2 linked regions of the Arabidopsis thaliana genome follow. The protein of the gene in region 1 interacts with the protein of each later gene in a pairwise test. Each region holds a gene or a part of one and is shown on either strand. Other genes may lie near its edges. The genes, in order: NPY4 and AT3G07270.

What was found.
Region 2: the proteins of NPY4 (region 1) and AT3G07270 interact in a two-hybrid assay, tested with the Arabidopsis thaliana proteins (one large-scale study listed by BioGRID).

The regions. Positions count from the first base shown.
Region 1 is NC_003071.7:9,808,796-9,813,277, forward strand, and holds NPY4 (Phototropic-responsive NPH3 family protein), read left to right. Parts: upstream 1-1,846; 5' UTR 1,847-1,989; coding exon 1,990-2,051; intron 2,052-2,146; coding exon 2,147-2,216; intron 2,217-2,288; coding exon 2,289-3,353; intron 3,354-3,424; coding exon 3,425-3,673; 3' UTR 3,674-3,867; downstream 3,868-4,482. Other genes in the region: AT2G23060 (Acyl-CoA N-acyltransferases (NAT) superfamily protein), read right to left, coding at 4,044-4,482. UniProt on the Arabidopsis thaliana protein: May act as a substrate-specific adapter of an E3 ubiquitin-protein ligase complex (CUL3-RBX1-BTB) which mediates the ubiquitination and subsequent proteasomal degradation of target proteins.
Region 2 is NC_003074.8:2,312,264-2,317,809, forward strand, and holds AT3G07270 (GTP cyclohydrolase I), read left to right. Parts: upstream 1-1,734; 5' UTR 1,735-1,741; coding exon 1,742-1,754; intron 1,755-2,168; exon of another isoform or gene 2,169-3,187; coding exon of another isoform or gene 3,188-3,200; coding exon 3,201-3,401; intron 3,402-3,609; coding exon 3,610-4,796; 3' UTR 4,797-4,925; downstream 4,926-5,546. Other genes in the region: AT3G07273 (uncharacterized protein), read right to left, coding at 5,451-5,546. UniProt on the Arabidopsis thaliana protein: GTP cyclohydrolase 1 is the first enzyme in the biosynthetic pathway leading to folic acid.

The sequences.
Region 1 (4,482 bases):
TATATCCATCACTTAAACAAGAAATGGATATCTTCATTATGTTGGCTTTTGATTCTTTTTCCTTTTCCTTACATATACGATTAACTCTCTGGATGTACTAGAAGTATCTTCCACTTCAACTATTTCTTTACCATGTGACACATTTTGAGTCTTCTCCATTTTCTTCAAAAGAACCAACATCAATCTCAATCAATACCAACATTATCATCTTCAAAAAAAAAAAACTATCTTTATACAAACCTTCTTATTTAAGCGCTGTCTAGACATTAACTCATAGAATTTCCGCATCATCATCTCTTCTTCCACCTATAAACACAAATGTATGTAAGATTGATTTCTTGCTCATATTATTCATATCAAAAGTACACAAAGTTTCATCAAACAAACCTCAAGTGTTTGGAGTTCTTGAGTCATCGTTTTACGAGTTTCTAAAAGCAATTCAGTTTGCTTCTCCAAATGGCTGTTGATGTGCTAACAACGGTAAATCATTATACGCAATGCACACACGAAAAATAAGCGTAAAACTGAAAACAAAGACGCACTTTAATAAATCGTCGGTATATTCAGGATCCATGCTCCACAAATTGATCAACTTCAACTTTATACTGATCTTGTGCTGATCACAAGTGGATCAAAATGTCATGAGAATATAATAGATAAAAATTACGTACAAAGCACAGTTTGATTAAGAAAAAGGAGAGTCTTTTATCATTGATTCATTCACACACATATCACTAGAGAAGATATGATTCTAATAATCTAAAGGGTATGATCACAAATTCGAACAGTTAACAGCAAAAACATAATTAAAGAACCAAACAAAAAAAAAAAAGCAGATTTAGAGAAAGAATATCTTAGTTAGACAATTCGTCGAGCAACTGGTGTGCATAGTCTCGTGCCTATCAAATTTTTCACAATGCCACGATACTTAAATCAGAAACAATCAATTACGTCTAATATATAGATAAATCATCAAAAAGGAAGTTCTTTTACGTACCCTTTCGTCAAATTTAACGATTCTTATAACTTTCACCACCATAAACACTTGACGATTCTCTTCTTCTCTCTCTCAATCTCACCCAAAATCAAGTCCTCTCTTCTACAATGGAGTTGACTGGGCTAATGGGCCGGTGTGACTAGGCTAATGGGCCGGTCTATTGTGACCCAAAGAGAACAACAAAGATAAATAAAGTTTCGATTTTTATGTTTATCAGCTCTATGTGCTTCTCATTAGATGAGAGACTTTCGCTAATATTTTATGTGTTTGTTTTGTTTTTTGAATGCAGAAGTCCATAAACTTTATATACTAGCGTAAGAATATCCTAACTTAACATTCTAATAAACATAACACTTATATAGGTTGAACTACACTTGGTATTTGATATTTGTAGTTGTAATTTTCTTTTAGGGTTCTTTGAACCACTCCACGATTTTGATCCTTGATTAAATTTTAAAGTATGTTGAAAAGTAGAAAATATGTGTATCGAGAAACGATCTCTGACTTCTCTGATGTTATGCTTTCACTAACCATCTTTATAGAAAACATACAAAAAGATTTGATTCGTTTTGTCCTTTGAATAAATGTTACCAAGAAATTCTGATTACCGCAGGAAAGATGCAACTTTTGGATTCGGGTTTATATTTTAACATAACAAATTTACAACACAATGGGCAACCAAAAAGAGGAGTTCATGTGCCAAGCACTTAGAAAAAAAGAAAAAAAAAAAAAAAACAAGCGTGGTGTTTGGGTTTTCGAGCCTTGAGAGGTTGGTGGGTGTGTTGTTGTGAATCTCTAAGTTTTCTCTGTAAATTATATATTTGTTTACATGTATATAAAACAATGTTTCTTTTTAAAGTGACCCTTTTAAGCTTTCTTGAAAACAAGATTGTGCATAGATCTCTTCTAAGATCCTTAGCTTTGTTTTCTCTTTTGTGTCTAAAGATCTTGAAAGTCTTGTGTGCAATAACTTATTAAAGAGATAGAAAAAAATGAAGTTTATGAAACTTGGAACCAAACCTGATTCATTTCTGTCTAAAGGAGACAATGTTAGGTTTGTAGAAAACAAATATTTACCTCTATGTATTTCTCTGATTATGCTTAAGCAATGTTTTTTCTAAAACTGATATTATTTTTATTGGCTCTTAGGTATGTAACAAATGAGTTAGAAACAGAGATCATCATCATCATCGGCAATGTCAAGTTCTATCTGCATAAGGTATGAAACAAACTCTAGCTTTTAAAACATCAAAGAAGAAGCAAAGTTTTTATGTTTTTGTGTGTTTTTCAGTTCCCATTGCTGTCGAAAAGCGGATTCTTGCAGAAACACATAGCAACATCAAAAAATGAAGAGGAGAAGAAGAACCAAATTGATGAGATTGACATATCAGAGATTCCTGGTGGTTCTGTTGCTTTTGAGATTTGTGTCAAGTTCTGTTACGGCATCACGGTTACTTTAAACGCTTACAATGTGGTTGCGGTTCGTTGCGCGGCTGAGTTCTTGGAGATGAATGAAACGTTTGAGAAAAGCAATCTCGTTTACAAGATTGATGTTTTCTTGAACTCAACCATCTTCCGTAGTTGGAAAGATTCTATCATTGTTCTTCAGACCACAAAAGATCTCTTGTCTGATGACTCAGAGGAGCTCGTGAAGCGTTGTCTCGGCTCTATTGCTTCTACTGCTTCGATAGACACCTCGAAAGTCAAATGGTCTTATACTTACAACAGGAAGAAGAAGCTTGAGAAAGTGAGAAAACCAGAAGATGGTGTTCCAAAAGACTGGTGGGTGGAAGATTTATGCGAGCTTCACATCGATTTGTATAAACAAGCCATCAAAGCAATCAAGAACCGAGGTAAAGTCCCGAGTAACGTTATTGGAGAAGCATTACATGCTTATGCAATAAGAAGAATAGCTGGTTTTAGCAAAGAGTCCATGCAACTCATTGATAGATCTTTGATTAATACAATCATAGAGCTTCTCCCGGATGAGAAAGGAAACATTTCCTCTAGCTTCTTGACCAAGCTACATCGAGCATCGATCTTTCTTGGATGTGAAGAAACCGTGAAAGAAAAGTTAAAGAAAAGAGTCAGCGAGCAGCTTGAAGAGACAACAGTGAATGATATCTTAATGTATGATTTGGATATGGTGCAGAGCCTAGTGAAGGAGTTTATGAACCGTGATCCGAAAACTCACTCGAAAGTATCCGTGGCAAAGCTCATTGATGGATACTTAGCTGAGAAATCAAGAGATCCTAATCTCCCTCTTCAGAACTTCCTCTCTCTCGCTGAGACACTCTCTAGCTTCCCAAGACACTCTCACGACGTGTTATATCGCGCAATTGACATGTTTCTAAAGGTAAAACAAGATTCAAATCCTCTGTTTTTCATAACGTTTCTTGATTTGTTAATAATTTGGAAAATTTTCAGGAACATTCGGGGATTAGCAAGAGCGAGAAGAAGAGAGTATGCGGGCTAATGGATTGTAGGAAACTATCCGCGGAAGCGTGTGAACATGCGGTACAGAACGAACGTTTGCCAATGCGGGTGATTGTGCAAGTTCTCTTCTTTGAACAGATTAGAGCCAATGGTTCATCAACAGGATATAGCACTCCTGAGCTTACCACTACTACTCTAAACACTGAGGATGATGAATGGGACCATGAGAAAGAGTTTTGATTGAATCTTTCTTATTTTGTTTCTTCAACACCATCTTTGAGTTTTACTGGTAGTTTTCATTTTCCTAAATTAGAAAACATTTGGTGCTTGACCTTTGTAATTGGGCCAAGTTTTAATGGGCTTTGTGTTCGGCTTGAAGCCTTTCTCATCTCGAATTTTAAATGAGAATAAAAATCAGAGCAAATTTTGCATTCATTTGTCTCGTTGATGATGGTAATTTCACTAATTTGGGAAATAAAATCACAAACTTGTAGTCAAACAATAATGGAAAAATTTGGAAATAAGAAAAATAAAAAAAATCTGATAGAGAAAGTTGAATAATATTCCTTTCCTTAAATATAAATTAATTATGTCATTTTGAGTTATAAAACTAAAATTCTCTAGGGTCAACAAAAATAGAATCGCCAGGTGGCGATTTAGTCCAATCACCAACAGAACCATCACTATAATCTTCTCCAAGCCGTTTAATACACCACAAATCCTCAGCGCACGATAGCACTTTCCAATGCGGTATCCCTCGCCGGAGCGGCTCTTCGCCGGCGACTTCTGCCGCCACCACGCCGCATCCTCCTTCCTTTGCCAAATTATGTGCATGGTCACACAATGCCTTCACCATTTTCTCCGCGCGTGGTCCTTCTCCGCCGATTCCGTACATAAAATGCAGCCCAAACGGCCGGAAAACCGCCGGGATCGACGGTATTTTCAAAAACGGTAGAGTTTTATCAACCATGCGCGTCGCTTTTGAAACCACGCGCCTCAATCTCGACGCGCCGCGAACTTCTAATCTAAACGAGTCTTTACAATTCCAC
Region 2 (5,546 bases), on another chromosome or scaffold:
ACCAAATTTAAATCTATAAAAGTGATTGGTTACAGACACTATTTTACTTTTTTGTCTTTTTCAAGAAGTTATTTGGATTTTCAAAATTACAGCATTAATTAAAATAGTAAACATATGTTAAAAGCCTAGGCGGATAAGTGAAAATATGATTTAAAACATTTCTAATGCATATTTTATTTTATTTTAAAGGAGATTTTAAAATATAGAGAATAATTCAATGTGCCTTTATTTTATTTTAGAGAAAATTCTATTTTAGATATATATAATGGACTAAAATTTTTTATATAAAAAAAAATTTCTTAAATAAAAAATAATATAAAAATGAACATTGGAGATGGTCCGTAAAAAAAATGGAATATTGGAGATGATCTTGTTTAAATACTAATTACGGAACTACCTACTTTAGAGATATCTATGTGTTAATAATTGTGGTATGTGCTAATGATATGGCTATGTCATCCTCTTATGTTATATTGCAAGTTGTTTCAAAACGAAAAGTATTTGAAAATGGTCGATTATTATACGTATATACGAGTAAAAACATATTTCAGTCCGAACTAATATAATTATACTCTCTAACTACTTTCTTTTTTTGGTGAAGTACTCTCTAACTACCTTACGACAACAATTATTACCTGAACATTGAACAATGAATTTATTACGAAATACAACATGATCTACAAGATATATCGTGAAACACATTTAAATAGTCCTTATTTGGCGTTAAAAATTGTGTTCATGGTAAGTTTAATTAGCGTATAAATATGTACGATAGATATAGTTTGGGTTGAAATCGTATATTTTCCCCTTTTCTCCGTTATATGATTAAAAAAAAAACAATTTGAGGCATAGAATAAGCCCATTTAACTCCTACTAGCCTCACTCACTTCCCCAAATTTCTTAATCACCACTGGATACTATGGGCTATCTAATTTATTTTAAAATAATAAATAATAACTACTTAATTTTTTATAACATTTTTGGGGGCAACAACTTAATTTTTAATGGACCTTATAATTAATGGAAAACTGAAATAATTAAAATAATTATTACTAGATGACTAACTTTTTTATACAAATTACCAAAAGTGAATATGGAAGATTTTTTTGTTTTTTTGTTTTTTTTTGCAACATACCCTCAATAGTTTAAAACTATGCACTTTTATTTTTTACATTTAATGTTATTTCTAATGATACTGTATTACATTTTAAAAAAAAAATTTATTTTAAATATAGCACATTATTTTAACATATTCATTATGCACTTTAGTTATGATTTTGTCACATATTTTTGTTATCTATCTAATTAGCTCAATAATTAATTACTCTTATATTTGCTTAGGATGTAAAATGGAAACTTATCATAAAATAACATGTAAATATTATTAAAAATAATTTATTTTCTTATTTGTCAAAGATAATGTACTTATTATAAACACTAAAACAAAAATAAGTAATCACCATTAAACTTATTTTTATGTAAATGATATCTAATGATTAAATGGTATATATTGGTGGATAATGATGTAGATATATTCAAAGATTAAATACTATTTTTATGTCTGTACATATATGGTTATTTTAAAATTTTTATTTATGTCTATATGTCTCCTTATATATGAATGATTCCACCAAAACTCTTTTTTTTTCTCAACACATTCCTTATGAACTTTGTATACTTTGGCTATATATATCAAATTAAACACAAAGAACAAGAATGTACAATAAACCATTCTTCTGCCATGGATACAAAAGGTACTTTCCTTGTCCTATCTTTCTTCAATTATATTACACAGCCCTTATTTTACATTTGATATCTACAAATTAACATACATTTGTATATGTAAATCAGTTATCAATGCTCTTCCACTATCGATTTGGTAGTCTTTCTTCTCCAAAGTCCAAACCATGTTGCATTGAGAGGATCATCTCTATTAATGTCTGAAAATCTGTTTTTTTTTTCTTCATACATCATGTTTTCTCAGTCGGCTTGAGGAAGGCAACGCTTTCCACTTGATCTAATAAGATATTCATCTCAAGCTAACAAGAGAAAGCTTTTTTTGTTCTCTTTCTGAAACTAAAACTTATAAAAAAATCTCTAATGTTTTCTTATCCTTTCACTCGTAAACGTATTACGTATAACAGTAGAAACTTATCATGATACAAATAGTTCGTTTCTTTGATTACTTTTTAAAAATGACTTTGTAATTTCATTGATTCTGCTTTACGAATGCTGAATCTGGAATTTTGTTTTGCTTTTGTTTAGATTATATATATTTTAGATACATATAATATAGTTAGTTTCAGTTAGAGTATATACTAATAAAGAGCGACCGATCTAATAAAATTAGTCTACTAGATTGGTTAGGTAGAGTCTTTAAATATAATCTTGCAATTGATATTCCCTATCAGAGCATATTATAAGAAAAGTTCCGGTGACGTATTCAACCATTAAACCAAGAGATAGAGAATATGATTTTAAAAAGTTGATTTGGAGATTATCATCTATAGTTTTTTCTGCCATCTCTGGTAATGTAGATTTTTTATTTCCACAAATAGGTGAAAAAAAAGAAGGAAAAGAATCAAGTGGGTTACTAGCTAGGTTGGTCGGTAACATTATTATTTTGGGACAGAACATGTTGAAAGGTTTGGTGCATTCGAAAAGTCTTCGCCGCCTTGCCTTTTTAAATAATTTTTGTTTTAAACATCACTAAAAAGACTATAGTCTATAGAAAAAGAAAAGAAAAAAAGTCATTAGTTTTAATCGCATTACGCTTTCGGATAACACGAAAGGTTAAATTATAAAATGAACGATTTTACGAATCCACATATTCCTGGATCAACGGGAACCCTTCGTTTCTTTCCCACCCGCGTGTTATCCCGTTTCTCAAATTTCTCATCTTTCCGGGAAAATTCACTTTTTTTTTTTCCTGGGAAGATTCGTTGTGTTGTGAATTTTAGTGGGCACCTTCAAATTTTCGATTTTTTTTTTATTTTCCTTGTCTCTTACCTGATTTGGTGATTTATTATTACATCAACCACTCGATTCGTTAGATTTCCGGATTTGAAAAAGAGTCACCAACTTGTACGGATTCTCGTTTTGGGGATCGAGTATTGCTGATTTGTGATTTTGTTGTTTTTGGGTACTTTCCCTTTGTGGATTCGGATCTGGTTGGTGGCTTTGTCAAATGGGCGCATTAGATGAGGGATGTTTGAATCTGGAGCTCGACATTGGAATGAAAAATGGCTGCATTGAGCTTGCTTTCGAGCACCAACCTGAGACTTTAGCAATCCAAGACGCTGTCAAACTTCTCTTGCAAGGTCTTCATGAAGATGTCAATCGGGAAGGCATCAAAAAGACTCCTTTCCGTGTCGCCAAGGCCCTTCGTGAAGGGACCAGAGGTAACTATGAATCTCTTGCTCTTTTCTTCATCTTATAAGTAACTCTGTTCTTGAGCTATTGACCCTGGTTAGTTTATGTCCCGTGTAGTAGCTTGTTACTTGGCTTATTTGTTGTTATGATCTATTAGGATCTCCCTTTTTTTTTGTTTCCATTGGTGAAATAAGTTAGAATGTGGAAAGTATCAATCTTGGTGGCTTTTTTTCTCAGGTTATAAGCAAAAGGTGAAGGACTATGTACAGAGTGCTCTGTTTCCAGAAGCAGGGTTGGATGAAGGAGTTGGGCAAGCAGGAGGAGTCGGAGGACTTGTTGTTGTCAGAGACCTCGATCATTACTCTTACTGTGAATCTTGCTTGCTTCCTTTTCATGTCAAGTGTCACATAGGTTATGTCCCATCGGGCCAGAGAGTGTTAGGACTGAGCAAGTTCTCTAGAGTCACTGATGTTTTCGCCAAGCGGCTCCAAGACCCTCAGCGTTTGGCTGATGATATTTGTTCAGCTCTCCAACATTGGGTCAAACCAGCTGGAGTCGCTGTTGTTCTTGAATGCTCTCACATTCACTTCCCCAGTTTGGACTTGGACTCTCTGAACTTGTCTAGCCACCGTGGATTTGTGAAGCTACTGGTTTCCTCGGGGTCAGGAGTTTTCGAGGATGAAAGCTCGAATCTTTGGGGTGAATTTCAGAGTTTCTTGATGTTCAAAGGTGTAAAAACGCAAGCTTTGTGCAGAAATGGCAGCTCTGTGAAAGAGTGGTGCCCAAGCGTTAAAAGCTCGTCTAAATTATCACCTGAAGTTGACCCGGAAATGGTTTCTGCTGTTGTTTCCATCCTGAAATCACTGGGAGAAGATCCGTTGAGGAAAGAACTCATTGCTACACCAACTCGATTCCTCAAATGGATGTTGAACTTCCAAAGAACCAACCTCGAAATGAAGCTAAACAGCTTTAACCCTGCCAAAGTCAATGGCGAGGTCAAAGAGAAAAGGCTGCACTGTGAGCTGAACATGCCCTTCTGGTCAATGTGTGAACATCATTTGCTTCCTTTCTATGGAGTTGTTCATATTGGCTACTTTTGTGCTGAAGGATCCAACCCCAACCCTGTTGGAAGTTCACTCATGAAAGCGATTGTACACTTTTATGGGTTCAAGCTTCAAGTGCAAGAGAGGATGACTCGACAGATCGCTGAAACGCTATCGCCTCTTGTTGGCGGGGATGTGATTGTTGTGGCGGAAGCTGGGCATACTTGTATGATCTCTAGAGGAATTGAGAAGTTTGGAAGCAGCACCGCGACAATCGCAGTTTTGGGTCGGTTTTCGAGTGACAATTCCGCAAGAGCGATGTTTCTAGACAAGATCCATACAACTAATGCCTTGAAGACAGAGTCAAGCTCTCCATTTTGAGATGGTTTCATGTCTGTTTGTTGTCTTTTTTTTATGCTTCTGCTTGTCTTCTCTTTTTTTTGTTATATGATAAATACTTCGGAAGTTGCTAAACTTCGGAAGCAAACCAATGATTTCTTGGTTTTGATTCTTCTTCATGGGTTTGTTTGTTTCTACATGGAAAATGAATATTTATCTTTATGTTAGGTGTGACATTCTCTTAATATAGATAGATTTTGTTAGCCATACTATTACTACATTGGACTTTGTTTAGAATGAAAAGAGATATTGAAATTTGAAAGTTTATAAAGCATTACTCAATCCTGTTATGTTTCCAGAGCTTGAGTGTAAACATCTCTCTTTCCAAAAATGGTACTAAGAGAAAAAGGATGAAGACAAAGTTATCTGTACACAAGAGACGATCAAGATTTTGTATGGATTCCAAGAATAACTTTGACCCAGAAAAGGGGAAACAAAGTAGATACAATTGTAATGTATTAGTGGGTAATTTATAAGATCTCTCCCCTATTCTCTCTATATCCTCTCTAATATACAACTTAATGCTAAACCCATCTTCTGATGATGACACAGCCGAATCAAAACTGAACCAAAAGTCTATCAGATGCTTACCGCAAATCTCATTTCCAACAATCACACTCTCGAAAAGATTTTACTCTAACCTACACATACCTTACTGACTTGAATTGTTCTACTAGGGAAGCCTTTCTCATTATGAAGCCAACCAGTCATACCGCAACATCTCCCATTCCA